2 linked regions of the Tribolium castaneum genome follow. The protein of the gene in region 1 purifies or fractionates together with the protein of each later gene. This does not show direct contact. Links are inferred from orthologs where the notes say so. Each region holds a gene or a part of one and is shown in the gene's direction. Other genes may lie near its edges.

Region 1 (8,208 bases):
GCGTTCAGCATTTTGCTTGTACGTTGGGTCTTCTAGTAATTTTTTCGAAGCCTCAAGTATAGTTTTCTTGCTGATATCGTCGTATGCCACTTTAATGGTAAGTCCCATGCGTTCAGAAGCACGGATGTTGTTGTCCTGATCGGCGAAAAGTGGGATTCCCAAACGGGGAACCCCACAGTAGACGGCTTCCTGACTCCCCATCAAACCGCCATGGGAGACAAATAACTTAACGTTCGGGTGGCCTAAAAATTACGTTAATTTCAGTTCAATTAATAAACAGTAAAGTACATAAAATGTCCATCTGGGGCATCCAGTTTTCGAAATGAATGTTTTTGGGGATTTTTAGCCCCTGAGGGAAGTTTTCGCGTTTCGCTTTCCATAAAACTTTGTACGGGAGTTCGGAAAAAGCATCAAACATTCCTTGCAGTTTTTCCGGGTCGAAGGTTTCAGTCATGATCATGGACCCCATTGTTAGGTAAATTATGCCTTTGTTGGCGTCACTTGTGACCAGATTTTCAAAATACTGCAAATGTGTGCTTGAATACCAAAACAAAACAAAGATGGGGGGGGGAATTACTTTGGATAATGGTTTAGGCTCATGGATGTGGAGCCCCCCGACTTCAATAAAATTAGGTACAGTTGGTCTTGAATGCGAAATACTGAAGTGACTATTTACTATCACAAGACTAGTGTTTTGGGCCAACTCTTCCAGAGATGGTAACTCGGGCCCGAAAAATTCCTTTGCGATTTTGTTCGATTCCTTTGACGAGAAGTAGTGGTACCTTTAATTTTTGTTAAATGATTTAGAATTACTTATCACAAACTTACAAAAACTTGGTATAAAGCAACATAATTGTGTTTTCGACTCTCTCAAAGAGGCTCATTTTTGCGGTGGTTGAAACAAAATAGTTTGGAATGTAGGAGGGGTTGTCTGGATTCCCAATCCTGTCCCCGGCCCATGGCAAACTTATACTACTTATTAGAGAGACAGTTGGGGCTTTAAAATAGTGACCAAAGCCCAGCATACAATCCGAGCCGAAAATTTCAGTAACCACAAGATCGTACTTTTTTTTGGTTTTCTTTAAGTCGCGCAAAACTGGCGTGTTTAGAGTCGCTGCACAAACATCAACGCCACAAATTTTGGTCATGAAGTGAATCATGTGGAAGTTTGTGAAGCCGTCAAATGCATTGAGGGATAAATTATTGACGAAAATCGGCAGACTTCCGACTAGACTTAGCTGATTATACCTACAATTTTTAATAAGTGTGATAGGGAAAAAATTGTTTTTACCTGGCAGGTGGATCCTTTGTCGGAAAATGGGTGGCAATATCAACATTGTGGCCTTTTTCTGCAAGGCCTATTAACAGGCGTTCAAACATAACGAAGTGGCTTTTGCCAGGCATGGGGAAAATTCCGAGAATGTTGGCAGTTTGTCCGATTGCGAAAGTCGAAATAACAATAAAAAATACCGAACGCATTGTAAATTTATTGCAAATCTCACTGTGATAACTAGGTGATCCTCTGCTTTGATCGTTATATAAGATGTTGGCGAGTAATTGGCTTGTTGCGTGTTGGGGCACTTAGTTTCTCCTATTATTTTAAAGATGACACAGCACAAACGATTTGTAGAGAGTCTACCAAAAAATATAGCTTCTATACTAACACAATTAACTAATTATCGTGTAGTGAGTACTCGTGAGATCACTAATTAACTTTCAATTATGAAAAATTATGACCAACTGCACGGAAATTAAAGACTGCGCTTACAAAAGCTTTTAGTTTTGGATGTTCGAGTGACTATCATGTTTGTAGATTGATAAAAGCCATGAGTCTTCTGAATGTACCAAACGACAAAAATTTTCAAAGATAATCATTGTACTACATTAAGTAATAATCTTTGACCCAGATATTGAACGAGACCTAATTTCAATATTTCAATATAGTTTAATGCATTGGCAACTTCTCCTTCTAGATAATGCTCGACTTGTGATTAATTATGAGAATGAAAAGGCAGAATTTTTATTGCAATTGTAAACAATTTTAAATGGTGCACTAATCGAAACTAACTTCAAACAATTTTTTATTAGCGTGTTTTACTTACCGCCTAAAATCTTCAACTAACTATAACAAAAAAAAATGTAGCACATACTTTTCTATGAGTTTTTAAATACTGCTCTGCCACAAACTGAAGTAATAATATTATGTAAGTGCTGCTGCAGCGATTCAAAGTCTATAAAGAAAATTAACAAACTCAATTAAAATAAATCACAGCGGTAATAAAATAATAAAAGACCAACACAAATTCAATAAATTTTGTATTGTTTTGAATGTCGGTTGCGTAATAAACATTTTATTATTTCTGCGACTGTCTTGGTCATGTGCTTTTATTATTAACTCATTTGAAACACTTGAAACCAACATAGACCAAACAAAAGATGAAAATTTTTATTTTGCAAAAACTGCGTTTTGTATAGAAAATTTTGCTAATTTATCCCTCACTAAAATAAATACATGATAAATCACTTTATTAAACGAAGATTAAAGTTATCTGCCATATAACAATTAGGTACTATCTGGAATAGTAAAGTGTTTGATAAAACAATAATTAATTGTCTGGTACAAACGGATTTTTATACAGCTGCACATACAATGTAGTGTTTTGTGTTTCTCATATTTGCATTTTGTAAGGTGCTGTAGTTTTTTATTTAACAGGACACTCAAGTTGTCTCTTTCAACCACGAATATTTTTTTATAATTGTATAGAGTGTTATGCAACCATTACTACGGTGTGCTCACATTGTATTCTATTTTTTAGTCAATCTAAGATTAGAAGAGTCCGGAAAAGTACTACTTTACGGACGATTTCAAAATAAAATAATAGAAAAACAAAATAAAACAGCCCACATTTTTGTTAATTTATATTTATAAAATTTACAAATCAACAAATCACAGTTTTCTATTATCATTATTGGCTATTGGGATAAAAAGTCCGGTTAATTAGTTGGTTAACAATTTAATGTCCTTCAAGGGCCAGACTCGACACAGGGCCCTACTGCGGATGAGCCCTTGGGGCACTGGCCCATAGTTCCTAGAATCGGAAGAATTACCCGAATTATCGCCCTCCAACCACACGTGACCTCTAGGCACGATTTCGTAATTATTAAAACCAAGCCTAATTTTATCCCCCGGTAAACCAACCACTCTCTTACAGATATTTTGCTTAGGGTTGGAAGGACATTTAGCTATGACAATATTTCCTCTATCTATTCGATTCAGCCTAGCACTGACGTGTTCAGTTAGTAAAATATCATCGGAGTAAATCGTTGGCTCCATTGAAGGCCCTGAACACTAAAATTGTGGATTCGTTAAACAACGATAATTTTTTTAACTTTGTTACCAGAACAAAATCGCCTAGATATTCGAAAGTGCAGTGTGCCACACAGGCATATTGAATTACAAAGCCCACCGAACCCAGCGTTTTCCAAAAAAGCTTCCGCATAGCGATTTTTTTGGGGTTATGGGGGTTATGTCACATTTGACACTTGGCCACTCGAGAGGTCTCTCCACTCCCTCTAACAATATTAAAATTAAAAAAGTAATCAAAATAGCAGTTTTGAATCGTAATGATAATTTAAAGAGTAAAAAGTAATGTAATTTTTCTCTAATTAATTTAAAATTGCATTGGCGCCTATTGTCCCCACCACAAGACGCTTATCAATGACATAAAAGTGTGCTAGATAGCGCGATAAAAATAATTAAAAAATTCTACAAGGCGATTATCGACTGCCTCGTGGCTTTTTCGTGTCTAGGACAAAAAAATTACCGTTTTGTGAATTTTTTTTGTTTATTTGTTGCTTATTTATGTTTGTGTTGACGATTTTTCTCTTGACGTCATTAGAAACTCGTCCGTTCATTGGCTGAAATGTTACAGTGGTCTATTGTCTGTCAGTTCTTCAGTTGTGGTGATTCTATGGTAGTGAAGTGTCCTTCCTTCTGTCAAATTGTATGACGTACGCTTATGTATTAAATAATTAACAAGAAGCTCAGCTTTTCCATTAACCACTACAGTGTTTTCAGTTAGGCGTCTAATTAATGTCTTATTTCGTTTTAACAAAAACCCTCCAAGTTTAGGCAAATATGCTGTGATATCGTGTTTACAAGTGCTTACACAGGAGACTGTAAAAATCTACAAAAACTGACCCATGCTTCTTATTTCAGTAATATGGTGACACAAGTGAGACAGTTTTAACAAAAAACAGGTGAGAATTTTTCTGTGTAGGTACTGCTTTGTTAACAGTTACGTACAAAAAGCTTATCAATAACCCACTTTGCTATCGATTGTAAACATTTCGTAAACTCCAAAGCCAAGAAACAATGACTAATAAACTACTGCACCCCCAACAACACAATTTATTACTGGAACCAACAGCCGCATTTATTTTTGTACAGTTATTCCTAATGTCACTAAACTTGCATTTGCCCCCAGTTTCCTGAACTGTTTCAAATTTGAAAACGCCGTGTCATCACGAAAATCTCTAAAAAAGTACGGATTAACCGCAGGTGATTTATGACCACAACTTAACCGGTTATAATGAGCCTTCAGCAAGAATTTGTACGTGATTGGAAATGATTTAATTGCTTGTAGTTATTAGAAGTGAGGACTTTTTATTAGATAATATTTCCTCAAAGAAAGTTTTTGCATAAAGCGTTGTAATCTTTAAATGTAACTTTCTCCTTTGTTTACTATTACCACCCGAAGTGTGGTGGGTACTTAATAATTCATTCCAAGAATTACTCATCTTGCAATAAGCGAACATTCCTTTGTTAAATATTATTATTTTTGATAGCACGAACTTCGTAGTGATTTTTTCGAAGGTGAACCACGTTGTAAATTGCGTTTGTAGCGAAAAATTTTTTTGTGGTAAAAATTCATCACTTCGATTGTATTTACATAAGAAATATTGCAGCAACCTTGCAAAATTATCAGTATAGTGTATGAATAATGCAGCAGGAATTTAAATATTACATTACTCGATTTCTAGGATGTTCGACGTTGTAGAATCTGTTAAATCACCTTGCTGTTATAATCGATTTAAATGCAAATACAACGCGGTCAATGCTAGAAATATGGTTGTCTTGTGTCAGTTGCTACCTATTTCATGTTATCGTTATCTCAAACTATTCGTATCAGTATTTTATCTAATAGTAAAATTTATGTGCAGGAGCGAAGTATTCCAAAGTAGAAATCAGAGACAAAAGATCCGAGCGTTTCGTGATGCAAACTTAATCAATAAGCAGGTCAAACACCCAATTATCTCATTTTTCTAAACGTTTTGTTTGGTTTTATGCTTTCTTCATATCGGAACAACAATCTGGAAAGAATATGTGCCGAGTTCAAGTGAAAGCATAATCACGTCTAAATTTTTGAGCGCAAAATATAGTGTTTTGTGCTAGTATTTAATTGCCCACACTTGTAAATAACGGATTAAGCGGTCGATTAGAAAAATAATGAGTGTGTTTAGTTTCAAACTAACGACATAAACAAGTCAGTAAACACAAGTTTAAAGGAAGTGGTCGTGCTTTTATCGGACGGTTCAGTGATGGTTTTGCGGTTATTGATGTCCAAAAAATAATCAACCGACTGACAAGTAGTTTTCAGTTTCAACCAGATTGTGAAAATTGCACAATTCCTTTGTCGTCAAATACTGTTTATTCGGGGCAAACACTAAATAAAAAAATTCATTATCACCGAATTAAATTGTTTGTTTTGTATGGGCATTGTCTGAAAAAATGACTAAAGTCTGGAATAACTCAAATTTATCAAAAAACGCGATAGTTCAACTAATTAATTACGCCTAATACAATGGCAAATAAACAATTGAAATATTTTATTCATACGTGGATTCTTTGAACACTTGACTAATTCCCTTTGTGTTAACAAACTGTTATCAGTCACATTTAACAACCAATTAAGGCAGAAAAAGGTTCGTGAAAATAGCGGCGATTACATAATGCATAGCTTTTAATTTTTTTGTTGTTAAAGATCACAATGCCAAAATGGGCCGGAAAAAAGTGTCGTCTGCTCTCGATGTTGGGGCTGACGACGTCCTTCTTCTTCGTCGAAATAGTCGTAGGTTACATAACAAATTCGATGGCTTTGGTCGCGGACAGTTTCCACATGCTAAGCGACGTGGCCGCCTTGATGGTGGCCTTTGTCTCAGTCAAGGTAAAGCAAATGAAAAGCGTACGATTTTCCCAACTCGGAAAATTCCAGATGTCTCCGAAGAAGTGGTCGAAAAACACGTTCGGTTGGGCCAGAGCTGAAGTCCTTGGTGCTTTAGTCAACGCCGTCTTCCTCGTAGCTCTTTGTTTTTCCATTACAGTGGAAGCTTGCAAACGGTTCATCGAGAGCGAAGCGATTCACGACCCACAATTGTTGGTCATTGTGGGTGCGTTGGGTCTGTTTGTTAATTGTATAGGACTGCTGTTGTTTCATGGTATGGGGACGATTTCGTTTGGTTGTTATTTATGGGCGAGTTTTAGAGCATGGTAGTAGCCATGGTCATTCCCATGGTCGTTTGGCCCATAGTCGAAACCGCCTAACACAACTAGCCATGACTGACGATAACGAAAACGACGAAAGTTATCCCAGTCCTCCGCCGGAGAAATCCTCCCATCATGGGCACTCAAGCCCCGGACAGATGAACATGAGGGGGGTTTTCCTCCACGTGTTGTCCGACGCTTTAGGCTCAGTTATCGTAATTATATCAGCAGTTGTCTTCTGGCTGTCGTCGTGGAAATACAGGAATTACATCGACCCAGCTTTGAGCATACTGCTGGTATTGTTAATAATGAACTCTGTATGGCCTTTGTTGCGAGACTCGGCTTTAATTTTACTACAAACTGTCCCGACGCATATTCAAGTCGACGCAATCCAGCGGAGGTTACTGGCGAAAGTCGACGGAGTCGTAGGAGTGCACGAGTTTCACGTCTGGCAATTGGCCGGAGACCGAATCATAGCTTCAGCCCACATTAAGTAAGGTTTTCTGGTTAATTAACCCTCTCTTAATGTAAATGCCAGGTGCCGTAATTTATCCGAATACATGAAAATCGCGGAAAAAGTCAAAGAATTCTTCCACAACGAAGGCATCCACTCGACGACAATCCAACCAGAGTTCATTGATTACCAAGCTCCGGAAATCACAGATACTGACCAAACCGAAGATTGTGTTCTTGATTGTCCCAAAACCACAGACAGTGACGACTGCGTGCAAAACACATGCTGCGGTCCATCGAAACAAGTAAGTTACGACCGAAAAATCGAAAGTGCGCACATTAAAACAACCGTAAAATAATTGATTTTTTCTTAGTTGGAGAGAAGCCTCTTGAAAGTGAGAGTAAAAAAATAATGCGGCTTGGGTATTAAATTTTGGTTTTTGCTAACAGCTGTGATCCACTGTGTGATTAATGCGAAAAAATCTGTGATTGTTTTAATAAAACTATTTTACCTAACTTGTTTTATTGGTGGCACTAACACTGAAGCATCTCCCAAACAACTAATTGTATTTTAACTTCTTGTTACATGTTGACTTGTTTGTGGGGTGCGTTTGCGGTTCCAGGCGTCAGTTAGCCAACCGTTGTTGTGTTCTAGGGACGTGAGACGCCCTCGCCCAATAACACCCCGTATATGGTCCGTCAGCGCGGCAATTCCAGCAACAGTTCGAACAATTCGCAGGAAATGAACGAAATGGAGGCGGGAGTGCTTTTGGAAAAAGGTAATTCTCCAGTGCCCAAAGACTACAATTGTATCTCAAGGGGTTCACAGTGTTCGCAATACTCAGTAAGACCTGGTTCAGAACCAAGTTTCTGATACCTTGATGTTTCACATATTTTAATTAGGCTCTAGTTACCTTATTAAGTATAAAAAGTCGTGTTTTCGTGTTAATAACATCACTTCAGTTTTGTAATATGCTCTACCAGTAAGTTTCACAGATTTTGTTACTACTACAGTGTGAATCTAGTCTTAGTACAATTTTGTTTTCAGTTTTATTACTTGTAGTTCGGCTATGGCCAAGTTGGTAAAGCATATTTTTCTAGATAAGAACAATCTCAATACGACGGAGTGAAAGAGCAAGATTTCAAAAAATGATCGCGTACTTACATTGTATCATGTGATGAATAAGGGCGACAGAATAAAATCAAGTATT
Region 2 (7,762 bases), on another chromosome or scaffold:
AAGAAGATATTAATGAAAGAAATGTTTTAGAAAACAAAGATTTTTTTGCATAAAACGTAAATGCTGATTACCAATCACAGAGCATTCTGTCAGGTTTATGACCTTTGTTCTTTAATTTTTATTTCCAATCCCAAGAGCTTCATTTTTTACTTTTTTTTGCTTACGTTTTTTTCTGTGTTTTTTTTTAATTGTAAAGAACTTCATAATTGTTTTTATTATTAATAGTAGCATAGTATTTAGTTAATATAAATAATAGTTAATGATTGCAAAGTTAAGCTAACTGTGAAACCTAAGTATACCTATAAAATTCTGAAACGGCTTCATTTAACTTATTAATTGGAAATGTACTTCACAATTTTTAAGCTAGTTATAACAACACTAAAAAAAACTTAAGTTAACAGTGATACCATCCATCAAAACTTTTAGATAAAATCAAAAATTATGTTAGCCAAACAAGTATGTATTTAAAAGGTGAAAACATCTTCAAAATTGTTAGAATTTCAAAAAAAACTGAAAAGGTGGATAGTTCAGTAGACAATGATTTAGGTAAGGGTTCAATAAATTTGGCAGTATCAAATTGAAGCATTCTAGATTTATTTACTCCAAAATAAAGCTAACTTTTGGGAAATTGTTTTATTTTATTATTTTCCACAATCATAGGTACCATAAATACCAACACTAAAACTTTTAGCCTGCATTTAAAAAAAAAACGCAATTTAAAGAGTGATCTTCAAACCCATCTTTGTGGGAAAGCCCCGAATATTTTTTTTCTTCTTCTAAATTTAGACTTCTGAAGTGATTCTCTACAATGCTCTGAACTATGGATTCGCCAATTTTGAGACACTCTGTACGTGTAAAATCTCTGAGCAGTTCAAGATAGAGGAAACTTTGAATTTGAGATTACACTCCACAGGAAGGTCAAAAGAAACATTTAAATGTGAGATTTTTGGAAACATTAAATCAAAGCTAGAATTTCTAAAAATAAAAATAATAATATGTAAAAGTTGAAGAAAATAAAGTGAAAATGAAACATTAAATGAAAGATTTTCGTCTTTTGATGAATACGAAAGCAGTGATAAACAAAAAATAGAAAGTGCTATTTAAAAGAAACATAATACATAACTAACATTGCTTTGAACTTCTTTCTCGCATATACAATATACAGTGCAATGCAAGGGGGAATCTGCTAAAAGCGTATCTTCAATGAAGACAGTTCTAACAAAATTTTAAAAAAACTTACGCTTTTATGATTTATTGTTTAAAAAACAGTTCGTTTCTTACCTATCCTTATCGTCCTTTTTATCCCGACTTCTCTCCTCCTTGGGCGGCGTCCCCTTGTGATCCCTTCGACTGCTCCCCGTGCTACCTTTAGACCGACTTGGTGAGCCCTTCTTATCCCTTGAATGCGACGAATCTGGAGTATCCCTCTTCTTAGTGTCTTTCGTCGACCTGCTGTCCCGTTTCGGCGACCTTGACTCTTTCTTTTTATGGTCATCCTTCTCCCTATCTTTCTTGTTCCTTTCCTTCTCCTTTTCGCGTTCGCGTTCCTTCTCCCGCTCCCGCTCTCTTTCCTTTTCCCTCTCCCGTTCCTTCTCCTTTTCCCGTTCTTTCTCTTTTTCTTTCTCCTTCTCCTTTTCTTTAGGTTTGGGAGAGGGCGTGTGGTGTTTCTCCTTACGGTCGCTTGACCGACTCGTGGGCCTTGGGGACTTTGCTGGGGGGAGCCCCGGCTTGATTTTGGGGGGCGGTGTTTGCGACTGTTTCCGACTGCGTTGCGGTGTTGGAGACTTGGCTTTTGGGGCTGTTTTAGTTGTTTTTTTAGTTTTGTCGGTGCGTTGTGACGATTTTGAGGATGTTCGTTTCGTTTTTGGTTTCTTTTTCGGGGGGCGCTCCGATGAGGATGAGGAGGAGTCGCGTTTGGTTTTGGTTTTTTTACTCTTCTTCCGACGCGTTTCTATGGACGAGGAGCTGCTGGAGGTGGAGTCGTCACTTGAGGAGGACGAGTCCGAGGATGATGACGAGCTTTCGGTCGAGGGGCTGCTCTCCTTCTTGGTTTTCTTGTCCTTTTTCCGGGCTTTGTTCTCCATTTTCATTTGTAGTTCGAGTTCTCTTTGCAGTTCTTGCCGGCGCTTTTCTAGATCATCAGGGTCGGCGTCGGCTAGTTCCTCCGGGTCCCAGTGGTCCCAATCCTCGTCTGGGTTTCCGGGATGGACCCGTTTATTTGCATTGTCCTTGCGCTGGGTCTTGGCCGCCCGTTTCGAGGGGCTGATCAGGGTGTGGGTGGAGGAGTACTTGCAGCCTTTTCCGTAGGGGCAGGTGCCGCTCTGGGCCCAGTGGTGGCAAAAGTCCTGGCTGGTGCTGGCTTTGGTGCCCAGACGCTCGAACACGCTGGGGCGAGGCTTCGAGACTTCTTTGCTTTTCGGAGTTAGGTTCACGGTTATTTTGCGCTTGACCTGTTTAGACATTTTCACTCAGAGTTCGCGAGGTGAGGAGGAAAAATTGCGAAGCACTTGACGCTACCATATTTACGTTTGACGTTGCCGGCATGGGAGACTGTGGGCTTATCGGCTAGGGGCCTCCTTACATCATGCCGCACAGATGGCGCCCAAAAAACACAATTTCGACTTGCAAACGCCCGATGGACACTTTTTTGATCAATCAAACGAGATTTTAGCCAATTCCCAAAAAACTGGAACGATTTGTTTTGCAAAAATGTAGCCACTTGACAGGTGATAGTTTTTTGACATTTAACAGACAACACCAGTGGCGGTCTCAACCTGAAATTTTACGGGAACAAAAATTTTAAAACTCAAAATCTGTCGATAATGTACACTTTATTATGATATATTTTTGATTATGCCCCACTTGCGAATGATTTAGATATTAATTTCGTAGTTTTGGTCTGTTTCAAATTGTTTTTATTTATTGACAAAAAGTCAGTAGCGTCGCGGCCAACATTTCAACAGGAGCAAAAATATTAAAAGCACTGTTTAAAGACCAATTTTCCATTAAGCAGCTTTCGCATTTTTAGTTCAATCAGTGATAAAGGCACATTTAATTAAATTAATCAAAATTCGTAATGTGGTCTTCAAACAAAAAGAGAGGTTATGTTGACAGTTGTTTGTGTTGTGTTATTGTGTAAAGGAAAAATAGAAATGTAACACTTAAAAAATGTTCAATTCCTGCGACAAACAGAGAAATGATTAACGATGTACGCCCCCAAAAAACCTAAACTACGATTTTTGTTAAAACTTGGAATTTTAATTGCTGCGTTATTAGTTGTTTATTTTACGTTTTTTCATTACAATTCCGATGGTTCTGCTAACGATGCAACATTTTTGTTGCCATTCAAAAAGCCTAAAGAATACAATGTCTGGTTGATATTTACTAAAGTCTCTCAAAGGTCGCCGTTAAGATATAAATTCCACAACTTGTTGGAGAATATTTTAAACATAAGTTCTGTTCCTTTAAAGTTCCATATTATTGTTGATAATAGCTCAAAGCAATTAGCAGTAGGTGAAATATCAGATGTGGTGTCGCATTCGAATAAAGCAATATTTTATAAATTTTATGATGTTGAAGCGTGTGCAAGAGCGATTAGTGATATTGTCGACGTTATGACCCCTCATTTTAGTTCAAAACCGGGTAAAAAGGCTTACTTTTTAATTGCACTATTACTAGTTTTGACTTCAGGTACTTACTACAGCGACGCACTTTTCTATATTTCTTTGGGGCTGTATCGGATAGCCCCACCTTCCCAGCGAACTGCCCTTCTACTAGACTGTGATTTATACTTTAAGAAGGATATTCGATTAGTGTTTGAGGAGTTTGACAAGTGAGTTTATGAAATTTCTTATTCTGGTCAAAGTGACCTGTGACTGACATGAAGTCATAGATCACTTTGATCGGAATTTAATTCAACTGTTTGATAGGTTTAAGCCAACTGCGCTTTTTGGTTTGGCCCCCGAGCTGACTCCAGTCTACCGTCACGTCCTCCAAACCTATAAAGTGAAAAAGAACTCAACATTCGGAGAATATTATCATTCCAAGGCGATATCGAGCAATATGCAGCATCCTCGTGGCTTCCAGGGCTATAATTCCGGTGTTGTTTTGATTAATTTAAGTGCAATAAGAAAATCAAAGGAATATTCCCAAATTATCAGGAATGAAACTGTGCAATATCTCACGTCCAAATACAAATTTCGAGGTCATTTGGGTGACCAGGATTTTTATACTTTGATAGGGTTTGAATATCCTGATTTGATTCAAACCATAAATTGTGGTTTCAATCGCCAATTGTGCGTCTGGTGGCGAGAGCATGGCTACCGTGATGTTTTTGATTTTTATTTCAAGTGTCAACACCCCGCTGTTATTTTACATGGAAATTGCAACACGAAAATTCCAAAATAAATTAAAGACTGGTCATCTATTCGTGGAATCTCTACACGTCCACTAGTAGTTTTGGGAAAATTTGAGTTGGCAGCATTGGTTATTGCCAATCAAACAATCATGTGGTATGACCCGGTATATTAGGTACGAGTGCATTACTGGGTTGTGAAAGTACTCATTTATTTTCTTGTTTGTAAAACAGTATTTTTCAAAAATAAACAGTTTTTTATTTTTCGATTTGTTTTCTTAAGAATTGAAAAAAAATCCCATGATAGTCGAAATACATGTATTTAAATCTATAGATCGGTTACAATATAGGAATACAACAGGAAACATTCGAGTAATAAAACTTCGTATTCAGTGAGTTATAAATAGTGAATTTAAAAATTCAAAAATTGCAAAGCACTGGGTTCATTATTACAGTTTGTAAGCCTGTCTCATCATTAGGTCGAAATAGCCGTCATTGTCGATCGAGGCACTGATGGCCGAATAATAATTAAAAAATTCTTCGTGGGTTACCTACAGAAATTAATTAAAACTTTTGTTCAATCTTCATTAACCAACCTGTCCGTCTTTGGTGGCGTCCTGTTCAAAATTTGCTAGAAATCGTTTCAGAATATTTTCCTCAGTTTCTTCGCCTGAAATGTATCGAGGATGGGCTTTGACGTTGTAAACATTTTTCAAATCGTCTATTGTGATCACTCCGTCTCCCGTTTTGTCCATTTTCTTGAACGCTTCTTCAACGACTTTCTTGCGTGACTCAGACATTGGGGGCTGGAATAAAATATTCAGAAACTAGGTCACAAGCAACAAGTCCTTGATCTAAGTAGTGTTTACGCGAAATGTGGTCGCTTATTTACTGAATTTAAGAGTCTTGGAGCTTTGTGTATTGATGATTTAATGACAAATCATTGGCGAATAATTTGGAAAAGTAAGGTGTTTCATGTTTTAACTTCGTATGAAATGATTTATGAAACTTTTTCAATCAATATTAATTTAACGATCGATTTTTTTGAATGTTTCAAAGTTGAAGACCACGTTTGCATGCATCCACAGTCCTTACAAAATAAGAGATATTTTAAAATTATAATTTCGACCTTCCCCAAATAATTGAAATACTTTTAGTTTTTTAATTATCACTCGAGTGAAAAAATTATAGTGCAACGTGAAATAATTAATACATTTTATTAATCAGAAATAGATTTTACCTCTAAGTAACGTAATTACGAGCAATTGATTGTTTGCAGCATGAGCGAAGGGAGTAGGAAATTACATTCCAAATAAGTTAGGTACAATATTTTTTGTAACAAATAATTCAGTAAAATAAAAAAAATATTTTTCATAATTTCCAAATGGGTTGGTGAGTGGTTTACTAGTGTAGTAAGAATTATCAAATTTAATAAATGTCATTTTTCGTAAAAAAATGTCGCGTCTAATCTAACGGAAGCAGTATCTAATAATAATAAATATTCCAAGATGTTACTGAAAAGTAAAAAATATTGCAGTGAAGAAAATGCTTGTTTCCACCCTCTGAAGATAACACAAAATAATTATCTAAAAGCTATAGGTAACTACAAAAATAATGTTTACGGTAAACGCTTTTTATTTAAGGGTCTATTAAGCTCTTTTTTACTTTGCACTTAGAAAATTGTTATTTACAGTGCTTTTATTGTCACTATTATGTGTACACCTACATTAATCGATTTTTAAAAATGTTACAAAGTTGAAGACCGTAACAACATGTATGATTTATTGACAATAATTGCAAAATAATTTAACATGATGAGTTTTACGCTCGCCGTTTCACGTAAAATTTTTACTTCTACAGAAACGAAATGGTTTTTAATTTTTTAATTACGTTCAAGTTATATTTCTAATGAAAAAAATTATAGGTAACATGTTTTTTTACAATGGGATGTCGTTTCATCACAAGCCAATTTTTATTTCGTTTTAAAGATCATGCGATCATTTGAGTTTATAATAAGAGTAGGCGTTTTTTCCTTGTGATTGATAAACTAGTGCAAACAGGGGGGAAAATGTATTATAATTAACGATTAGGTATGTTATTAGTAGATACTTCTGCTTGATTAATTATCATTATCAGAGGTTTATTCATATAATTTAAAAACATATTATAAAGAGTAAAGCCTACTCTAATTATAAATTAAAATTATCACATAATAATAGTATTTGTAACCGACTTTTTAAAACTCAATAGTTTAATGTTTAAAATACAGTAACATAATTAGGTCAAAATACAAAAAATGAAAAAAATATAAATACAAAAATATAGTGATGACATTTTAATAAAGAAAAATAAAGTGGCCATCAAAAAGTTGTTTTTTCTTACACAAATGGTGTTTTCGCCTGTGTGCAGGTTTGTTATCTGTTTATAAAGACCCGCTATATTTTTTCAAATTAAGAAGTAATAGACATTTGGGGTAAAAGTGAGTATAACTGATATAATAAAAAAAATCCAATAAATAAAGCAACAAAAAAATATTTATTAATTTTTTTTAAGTTTGTCACAAAACGTTAAAATGGCGTGTAAGAAAATGATAATGAAAGTAAAATTCCTAAAGTTATTGTTGCTGTATTTGGGAAAATAGAAATTTAATTGTTTATAAAAAAGTATTCTAAAATATTGTAGGGTTCCTGCAAAATATTTTCTGATAAATGAATTTTTAAAGTCCAAATTCATTATTTTTAAAGCAAATACAACTTGATCCAAAATTTTGTAAAAACGTAAATTTTGTATTTATTCTAGCACAACTTTAAGATTAAGATGAACATAAGGTGTCTGTAGTCAAAATGTTTTGTTTCTTTTCTTCGGCGTACAGTTTGCATCCTTGGAAAATTTAATTTTCTTGCAATTTTTTGTTTACCTAAGCAATTTAATCCGTTTTTTTTTCAAAATGTGTTACCCCAGTTCTACTTGTTCTCAGTATAGTACAGTTCAGCCTTAACTAAACGAGTAAAATTTAATAAAAATAGCAATCTGAAATGGTTAATGCCTTTTCTAAAAAGGTAAAGACCACAAATTTTACAAAGAATTTTTATGGGTACCCCTCTCTAGCCCCCTGAAAATGCATTTTTAAAATTGGGTCGAAACCAGGGTTGGAAATAAAAATATTATTTACAAAGTAAGAAGTAAAGAAAAAAACATTTTTTGTAACTTTCTTGGCATTAGAATAAATAAAAGCTCTTATTATTTATTCTAACTTGTAATTTATAAAAGAGCCATTTGCATAATTTTAATATTGTAATAGCAGAGGTGATCAAGAAGTGAGTTGGCAAACCTGAATTTCACGTAAAAACGGTGCAACTGGTGGAACTTCCGGTTGCCCAAAGCAATCAAATCCTATAATAATCTATA

Evidence for each region. Proteins that work in one complex are often made in the same cells at the same time.
Region 2: the proteins of ZnT63C (region 1) and Xxylt purify together in Homo sapiens (co-immunoprecipitation; 3 studies listed by BioGRID and IntAct, with this or other methods). This does not show direct contact. The link is inferred for Tribolium castaneum from reciprocal best matches to the Homo sapiens genes SLC30A1 and XXYLT1.

What each region holds. Positions count from the first base shown.
Region 1 is NC_087402.1:2,131,070-2,139,277, forward strand, and holds the start of ZnT63C (proton-coupled zinc antiporter SLC30A1), read left to right. Parts: upstream 1-3,786; 5' UTR 3,787-4,260; intron 4,261-5,953; exon of another isoform or gene 5,954-5,985; intron 5,986-6,044; 5' UTR 6,045-6,050; coding exon 6,051-6,227; intron 6,228-6,275; coding exon 6,276-6,498; intron 6,499-6,544; coding exon 6,545-7,037; intron 7,038-7,082; coding exon 7,083-7,302; intron 7,303-7,371; coding exon 7,372-7,392; intron 7,393-7,652; coding exon 7,653-7,871; 3' UTR 7,872-8,098; coding exon of another isoform or gene 8,099-8,127; 3' UTR 8,128-8,208. Other genes in the region: UDP-glycosyltransferase UGT5, read right to left, coding at 1-242, 289-523, 578-782, 829-1,248, 1,292-1,479; mitochondrial inner membrane protease subunit 1, read right to left, coding at 2,999-3,349, 3,399-3,500. UniProt on the Homo sapiens protein: Zinc ion:proton antiporter that could function at the plasma membrane mediating zinc efflux from cells against its electrochemical gradient protecting them from intracellular zinc accumulation and toxicity.
Region 2 is NC_087398.1:11,172,623-11,180,384, forward strand, and holds Xxylt (xyloside xylosyltransferase 1), read left to right. Parts: upstream 1-2,913; 5' UTR 2,914-3,206; coding exon 3,207-3,642; intron 3,643-3,690; coding exon 3,691-3,832; intron 3,833-3,929; coding exon 3,930-4,407; 3' UTR 4,408-4,620; downstream 4,621-7,762. Other genes in the region: fl(2)d-associated complex component, read right to left, coding at 1,282-2,462; calcyphosin-like protein, read right to left, coding at 4,804-4,905, 4,951-5,160. UniProt on the Homo sapiens protein: Alpha-1,3-xylosyltransferase, which elongates the O-linked xylose-glucose disaccharide attached to EGF-like repeats in the extracellular domain of target proteins by catalyzing the addition of the second xylose.